Linked DNA regions of Coturnix japonica. The protein of the gene in region 1 binds, or shares a complex with, the protein of each later gene. Links are inferred from orthologs where the notes say so. Each region holds a gene or a part of one and is shown in the gene's direction. Other genes may lie near its edges.

Region 1 (3,609 bases):
TGTTGGGCATGATGAAAGCTATGGTCTCCATTAATTTTTGCATTAATCTCTCACTCCATGGCTCCATGTCCCACCTCCTCCTGGTGATGTGTGGTTGAGGAGTGGGCGGTCAGCACATCACCCATCGTCTGCAGCACACCTGAGCAGCACCACATACCCAGCCTGCTCACAGCACCACACATTCAGCCCTGCAGCTGCTCTGGCACCACTGCCCGTAGCAGCCTCAGCTCCATCACGTTGGGGTCAGCAGTCACTACCACCCTCTGCTGGGGTCTGAGCAGTGGGGAAGGTTACCACCAGGGCACTGCACAGATAAAAACTGCAGTTCTGAGTTAGTTGTTCTGCTTGTTGTTAGATTGTTCTGCTTGCAGGTGTCTGGTTTCCTGGTACCATTGCTACATACCTTTGCATTTTATGGTGACGTTTTCCTTTGCCTTAGCAACAGAGTAAGTTTGGGTGTTATTTTGGGGAGGGGATTTTATGATAATCCTGAGATTAATTGGCCTTTTATCTTAAATATAACACTTCTACATGTGGTAATTGCACCATGAATCTAGGTGAGTTGCTGCAGCACGGTGCTGCAAGTGCTCCGGCCGTGGGCTGGCTGTGAGCTAACTCACCGTCTGATAGATCTTTGCATTTCCTGCAGCAGGGTTGTGATGGGAAAATGAACTTTATTGGAAGAGTTCAGCTGCTCCTGTAAGCCACCACTTGCCTTAAATTGAAATGACATGAGAAGCCTGTCAGCATTTCATTGCTCCCTTCTGTTGTGCTGATGGTATGCTAAGATCACCATCTGTGTTTTGCTTCTGTCAGGCACACGGCTCCGCAGAAAACTTTAGAGAAATATTCTGAACCTTTTTTCTTATCTTTGCAGGTCATGCAATATTTAAACTTACATATCTAAGCAATCACGACTACAAACACCTGTACTTTGAATCAGATGCTGCTACTGTCAATGAAATTGTACTGAAGGTGAGTTTTAAATTTTAACGTGACCCAAAATTCTGAGTGTTGTGCCACTTGTTAGACATGGGAATCTTCAGGAGGATCTGAAATACAGGCACGGCATAGCACCTGTGGAGCACTTGGGTGCTTCAGCTCCCAGTTGGCTGCTCCTCTCCCAGGTTGGGTTTTAGTCAGGAACTGACACTGCTGGGCCATGGGGCACACGTGGAGCACACAGGGTTACAGGTGTTGGTGTCGGTGTGGCTCAAGCAGAGCAGAGCTGGGTTGGGGCAGTGCTGAGTGCCACAGAAGGACTGCTTTTTCTCTGGGTGCTTGCCCAGAATTGCCTGCTTTTCCCACAGCTCTCTGATGTACATATTGGTCTAATTCCTGAAACAAATCAGAAGATTAGACTTAATTTTCTGCGATCTAATATCTTATATCAATTCAAAATCAAAAGAATAGTCATTTTAGGAATCCAGCCATTATGTTTGCTTTGCTGTGTGAAGTCCAAAGGACTGCTGAACGACTGACCCACTGCAGTGCTGTTGTTGGCAGCCAAGTGCGTGCTGCCTTCTTCCTTGGCTCTCAGTCCAACAAGGCAACCTCTTCTGCTCCCACTTCATCTGCGGAGTCCCCAGAGCACTTGGCAGAGCCATACTGCTCACACAGGGCTGGAGAAAGTTTTGCTCTGAGTAATGAGAATATTCAGGGGAAAAACGTTACCAAACAGTACTTTTTGTCTTACCTTGCAGATTGTTTATGCAAAACTCTTCCTGGTTTTGTGTGTAAGTTACCAGTTTATTTTCAGTTCCGTCAGCATTAAGAGATGTAGAGGAATCAGACTTTTCAAATTAGGCTTTTTACATGATCAAGTGCAAGACACTGAGGCTTTATTGACCATGAAAACTCCCTATATTTCTACGCCTTAAGCCGTAATATGCAATGAAAGTGAAACACTCTACAGTGCATAAAATCGTGCAAGTTTTAAGCCACAGCATATTAACCAGCTAATGGTGGACCAAAGGGCATTTTTATCTTTTTGATTCTTGCATTAACCTTCCATTAAAATTATCTATGTGATTATCACAAAGCACTGGAGACAATAAATTTAGGGAATAGCAGCCTTGTTAAATATCATTTAAAAATGCTTTCATCAAGTAAAATGTGCCAAAACACGGGGAAACTCTAAGATTAGCTGAGTATGCAAACATCATAATGGAGGTATTATTTTTATTAAAGCTGATAAAATATTTTATTGAAGTCCATTACCACACCAGAGCAGCACAGCGGCCGCAGGACATGCTGCGTTGGGGGACAAAGCTGCTCAGCCCCTCCGGTCCGTGGGGACAGGGGCAGAGCGGGGGATGGCCCACATGGAGGGCTGCTTCTGCCATGGTTTTGCCCTTTTCCTGTTGCCCTGTTGAGTGTCCATGCCCTCCCAGGGCTGCACACTGAAGCACCAGTGCAGTGAAATCTTTTTGTGTCTTGCAGGTTAACTATATTCTGGAATCACGAGCGAGTACAGCCAGAGCAGAATATTTTGCTCAGAAACAAAGAAAACTGAACAGGAGAACAAGCTTTAGCTTCCAGAAGGAGAAGAAGTCAGGACAGCAGTAGCACCGGGCCTCGAATAGAGCCTGACCGCCGTGTTCAGAGCGGGGGCTGCCAGTGGCCGGGGCAGAGCGGCGCTGCTCCACTGCTGAGGGCAGGAGCGGCCGGGAGGACATCGGCACAACCCCATCTCTCACGGCTGCAAGGTGATCCCTCCTTGGTGAGGGAGGTCTCCCCTGTGACACAAATAAAGAGCCATATCAGCCGGAAAGAAGACTGTTACGCTTCAGGTTCCTTTGATTAGAAATAAGAGAATGACGTAGACTGGCATCATTTAATTACTGTATTATGTACAATCACAAGAAGAGATGTGATTACATATTATTTCACAGCCTGGTTAAAATAAATTATATACATCTGTAATACACCCACGTACACGCAGGTATTGCTTGTGACATGATCAAATTTCTAAAAACAAAATGTAGGACAAATGTATCCATTTTTACTATTAATAAACAGATGTAATCTTTTTCAAGGTCCATCTGATGCACAGTTCTTTTGGGGGGAGGCTGCAGTCCCAGATGGTTACGCTTCTGTTGCTGACATGCAGGAGGCAACTGTGAGCCAGGAGCAGCAGCCATCACAGAGCGACTGGTGGGGGAGCGCTGAGGCAGCTCAGGTCTTTTTTTGCTTCATTCTTTTCAAAACAGGTTCCTGTAACTGCTCCTCAGCTTTGCACTCCCTCCTTGGAAGGTGCTTCTTGCAGCCCAAGGAGAGCGCGGCCCAGTGCTGAGGCCACAGCTGGCACCTGGTGCTGGAGATGCCCCTCCTCCTTACTGTTCTTCTCTAGGAATAGAAACAGAGACCTGCTTTGTACTGGGACTTGTAACTGTGCTGGCCTTGTCTGTGTTTAGCATATCAGGGAACACGTGAATGGGATTTCAGGGAACCAGAGCTGCATTTTGGTTCCACTCACCAGAGGTGTCTTTCACAAATCTCTAAGCTGCTGTTGCTGGAGCCTTGTGCTAAGGCCGTGGGTTTGTACCGAGCTGCACCCCCAGCCCTGCGAGCTGCTCAGAGCCTGGCCAGCAGTGTGAGCTGTGTGGG
Region 2 (4,436 bases), on another chromosome or scaffold:
CCAGCGCCGCGGGCTCTGAATTAGCCCTATTCTAGATGCAACCCTAATCCCTGCCGACACCTCCTGCACAGCACAGCGCAGGGCAGCGCTGCACCCGGACCCAGCGTGTCCCGTAGGGCAGCACGGGGCCCTGGCACAGGGCAGAGCAGGGCAGCAACGTGCGGGTGTGTGCTGAGCATCCACGGCCATGGCCGCGGGTTGCGCCCTGTGCTCGTGTGATGCGCCTCGTGTGCGGCGTGGATGCGCTTTGTGATGCTCCTGGTGCCTGCAGGGGACAACGGCGGCCCTTGCTCTGTGCCATCCCATCCCTGCAGCATTTCCATCCCGCCCGGCGATGGATGTGTCAGCCCTCGTGGGAGGAGCTGTGCGGGTGCGGGAGGGTATGGGGCTCTGAGAGCGGTATGGGGAGCTCAGCACCCCCTGGCCGCAGGAAGGCCGTTCATAGACAGAGCGCTAATTGCACTGCCATGGCAACACAGCGCCTGATCAGAGCGGGGATAAATATTTGGACAGACGCTGTCAGCTCGCCAAGACCGGGCGTTTTTAATATCCGTTATCTAACTCGAATAGAGCGCAGGTTGCCCGGATCAGACCCTGCCGGTGCCGGGCTGCAGCACCGATGGCAGCAGCGGCTCCCTCCCATGGCTGAGCGCATCTCGGGGCCGTGTCCCGCTCCCCCGCAGCGCCCGGCCCCGTTCCCCTCTTACCTCCCGGAGCCGCTCAGCGCAATGCCCGGCCGTCCCGCCGCCGTTGCCATGCGGAGCCCACGCTGCCGCAGCGCGGCGGTGCGTGCGGGGGCGGCCGCGTGGAGCCCAGCCCACACCCCCGCTCCCGGAGCATCCCCGCGATTCAGCCCCGGTACCGCCGCGCCCGGTCGGTCCCGCTCCCCCGGGACAGGGACGCACCGGCCGCCCCAGGGAACGGCTGCGCCTCCCGGTGCGGTACCGCATGGCGGCCCCGGTACTAAAGGACAGCCCCAGCCCCCGGAGCGCCCCTTACCGGCAGGTGCGGTACCGGGCGGGCACCCCCCGGGCGCGGGTACGAGCACTGCCCCACGGCCGCCACCGCCGCTCTTAAAGGGCCCGACAGCAGCGCTGCACCGGCACGGCGGGACTCTGCTGCGAGCTGGCTCAGTGCCCTGCCGGCCCTGGGACGTGTGTGCCCTATTTGTGCCCTATTTGTGCCCTATTTGTGCCCTATTTGTGCCCCGTGTGCCCGCACCCCGTGTCCCGGTACCCGCACCCCACACCCCCATCAATCCCCAGCCCCCTGCCCCGCTCCGCTCGGTGCGGCCGTTCCCATCACAGCGCCCCCTGGCGGCGATGTCGGGATGTGACTCACTCAGCGCTGACAGCGCCCCGCAGTCCCGCCTCACCGCCGCTGCTCTCTGCGCATGCTCCTTTGACATCACCGACCCGCTTGCGCAGAGCCCGTACCGGCTCCGCGGTGCCGCCGCCATGAACGCGGCTCAGGGCACGGTGGGCAGCGACCCCGTTATCTTGGCCACGGCCGGGTACGACCACACGGTGCGATTCTGGCAGGCGCACAGCGGCATCTGCACCCGCACCGTGCAGCACCAGGACTCCGTATCCTGCACCGGGACCGGCGTGAGGGGGGAGGCCCCGGTGTAACGGGGGGGGGGGGTCCCAGCTTAAGGGGGGGGCCCGGTGTAGGTGGTGGGGTCTCGGTGTGGTCTCGGTGTCATACAGCCCTTAGCACTGCTGGCAGCAGGTGAACGCCCTGGAGATCACTCCTGACCGCAGCATGATCGCAGCCGCAGGTGAGCCCCGGGGTGTTTGGGGTCGCTGGGTGCCCCTGGTATTTCTGAGCTCCATTCGCTGCCATAGGGTATCAACACATCCGTATGTACGACCTCAACTCCAACAACCCCAACCCCGTCATCAATTACGATGGTGTGAGCAAGAACATCACGTCCGTGGGCTTCCACGAGGATGGGCGCTGGATGTATACGGGTGGGGAGGACTGCATGGCACGGATATGGGACCTCAGGTGAGCGCGGGGTCTGCTGCAGGGAGAACATTCCTCCGCAGGCTCGTGTGGGCTCATTCGGTCTCTTTTTTGTTGCAGGTCTCGTAACCTGCAGTGCCAGCGGATCTTCCAAGTCAATGCTCCCATTAACTGTGTCTGCCTGCACCCCAACCAGGTACACTGATTGTCACTGGCCTTCCTGGAAAAGGTGATGCTCCCTCAAATGCTTGGCAGTCTGGAGCATTGCTCAGCCCATGGTCTTGGTTGCATGGACCCCTCGGCTCTTGGTGGCTTTGCAGCTGCACGTCCATGTATTCCCTTGCAGAGCAGCTGCTGCATGACCAGGCTTGGTGCAGGCAGAGTGTGGCCCTGCCCCTGCCTTTGCTGCTTCTTGTCAGGGAACAAACATCCTCAAGCAGGGCTGGCAGCCAGCAGATGTCTCTGGCTTCTGTCTTGCTCATACTGCACCTGCAGCAAGCATCAGCATCCATGCTGGAACCATCAGGTTTTTGCTGAGCATCTTTGTGCTAGTTACCTGCTGGCTGTTGGACACAAGCAGTGCTACCAGTAGAAAAAAGCAGAGGCCAACAGCCCCAGTAAGGTCTGTGGTGTCTTCAGGGTTTGCTGGAGATCCACCACTCAGTTCAAAAGCTGTCAGAGAGGTCACTTGGGTTAAAGAAATGGAGCTAATGGGGATGATGGGGATGCATTAGTGGGCATGGTGGTGAAATCGATGCGTATCATTGCAGTGTTAATAACGCATCTGATCCATTCTTTATCCATGGTGCTGCAGGGTGGGAGCTGCAGACAAAGCAGCATAAGGTTGGTTTTTTCTCAAAGCAAATCTTTTAAAAAATATGAATAATAGAAATGTTTCTTTGCTTTTGATTTCTGTAAAAACTCAGTATTACAAATACTGAGTTCTGGACTAAATGTGAGATTGGTCATTTGGAACTGACTTCAGCCAAATGTTGCTGCTGCTGCACCATGAGACTCAGAATGTGTTGCATTAAAACAAATACTGTGCATAAATCATGTGTGTGAGATAATCACTTTGTGTTACTGTAGAAGCAATGGCTTGTGAGCAGGACAGTTAGTTAGCCCAGAGGTGGCAGTATTTAATCAGATAGATCCACAGTATGGACAGGGTGAAGCTGCTTATTCTCAGAGAGGGATTTCTCATGGCCTGGGTAAAGCCACGGCTGTGTTAGAATTGTATTTGCAGATGCTGCTAAGAGTGGGCTAGGAGGTGTCCAGGAGATGCCTCTGCACTACACAGTCAGCTAAATATATCAAGGGATGATTGTCTTCTCCTGAAGCAAGCCGTGGGTCACAGGTACAGGATTAGCTGCATCTGATGACCTGATCTCCTCTAGGGATTCTGCTAAAATTATGGACAGTGTAAGTCTGTCGATAAAAAGCCGTGGTTTTAATGGAGTGCTGCCAGCATTGTCTGCTGCTTTGAGCAGCAGGGATTGGAGCCAGAGCTGCTGCCCTTCAGCTGGCTCCTGTCCTTACCCTCCTGGAGCAGGAGAGACAGAGAAAAACCCACTTAGGCTTGTGTTCTTCAGGTACCTGTCACTATTTTCTTGCAGGCTGAGCTAATTGTGGGTGACCAGAGCGGGGCCATTCACATCTGGGACCTGAAAACAGACCACAATGAGCAGCTGATTCCAGAGCCTGAAGTCTCCGTGAACTCTGTGCACATTGACCCTGATGCCAGCTACATGGCAGCTGTCAACAGCTCGGTGAGCTTGGGCATGAGATGGGATTTGCAGTGCTGGGTTGTCCTTGTGGGGCAAAAGCAGCCAGTTTCTATGCACTATAGAGTTTTGCTGTGCTATGATGGGACACAGAGTCTAGGCTGCTTTTGGCTGAGGTCCACAGAGCCAGTCATAGACGTCCCATCTCCTTGCAGGGAAACTGCTACGTGTGGAACCTGACGGGTGGCATTGGAGAGGAGGTAACCCAGCTGATCCCCAAGACCAAGATCCCAGCACACAACCGTTATGCCCTGCAATGCAAGTTCAGCCCTGACTCCACGTGAGTGTGCTCCTCCACCAGATCAGTTCAGCTTGAATCTTGTAAGGCAGATGATATGGGGTAAAGAAATCTGATTACTAAATACGCAGGGCTTCAGTTCATTATTGTGCCAGGCCTGCATTAATGAGGCCTTTACATGTACAGCATAACTAATAAGATTACCTATGCGTGTGTTATCCTTGCAGGCTCTTGGCTACCTGTTCTGCAGATCAGACATGTAAGATCTGGAGGACTTCAAACTTCTCTCTGATGACAGAGCTGAGCATTAAGAGCAATAACCCAGGGGAAACCTCTCGTGGCTGGATGTGGGACTGTGCCTTCTCTGGAGACTCGCAGTACATTGTCACAGGTGAGACCCTGTTTGCCTGCCTGTCTGCAGGCTGGTGGGGCAGTGCTGGGTGCTG

Evidence for each region. Proteins that work in one complex are often made in the same cells at the same time.
Region 2: the proteins of MAPKAP1 (region 1) and MLST8 are in contact, whole or in part, in a cryo-EM structure (PDB 7PE8), measured with the Homo sapiens proteins. The link is inferred for Coturnix japonica from reciprocal best matches to the Homo sapiens genes MAPKAP1 and MLST8. Residues at the interface, in NP_001006618.1 of Homo sapiens: Lys102, Cys103, Lys104, Asn105, Ile106, Gln107, Trp108, Lys109, Arg111, Asn112, Ser113, Lys121, Leu123, Phe124, Glu125, Lys126, Lys127, Ser128, Leu129, Gly137, Lys138, Gln139, Ser140, Ile141, Leu142, Val144, Arg145, Leu146; in NP_001186102.1 of Homo sapiens: Ala29, His30, Pro77, Ile78, Ile79, Ser80, Tyr81, Asp82, Gly83, Arg98, Arg110, Ile111, Trp112, Gln120, Cys121, Gln122, Arg123, Ile124, Asn139, Gln140, Ala141, Leu157, Lys158, Ile203, Glu206, Ser279, Gly280, Asp281, Gln283, Asp322.

What each region holds. Positions count from the first base shown.
Region 1 is NC_029532.1:8,128,720-8,132,328, reverse strand, and holds the end of MAPKAP1 (target of rapamycin complex 2 subunit MAPKAP1), read left to right. Parts: intron 1-877; coding exon 878-975; intron 976-2,442; coding exon 2,443-2,568; 3' UTR 2,569-3,041; downstream 3,042-3,609. UniProt on the Homo sapiens protein: Component of the mechanistic target of rapamycin complex 2 (mTORC2), which transduces signals from growth factors to pathways involved in proliferation, cytoskeletal organization, lipogenesis and anabolic output.
Region 2 is NC_029529.1:6,429,776-6,434,211, forward strand, and holds the start of MLST8 (target of rapamycin complex subunit LST8), read left to right. Parts: upstream 1-1,457; coding exon 1,458-1,586; intron 1,587-1,728; coding exon 1,729-1,780; intron 1,781-1,847; coding exon 1,848-2,010; intron 2,011-2,088; coding exon 2,089-2,164; intron 2,165-3,584; coding exon 3,585-3,737; intron 3,738-3,907; coding exon 3,908-4,032; intron 4,033-4,217; coding exon 4,218-4,381; intron 4,382-4,436. Other genes in the region: hexosaminidase D-like, read right to left, coding at 1,342-1,459.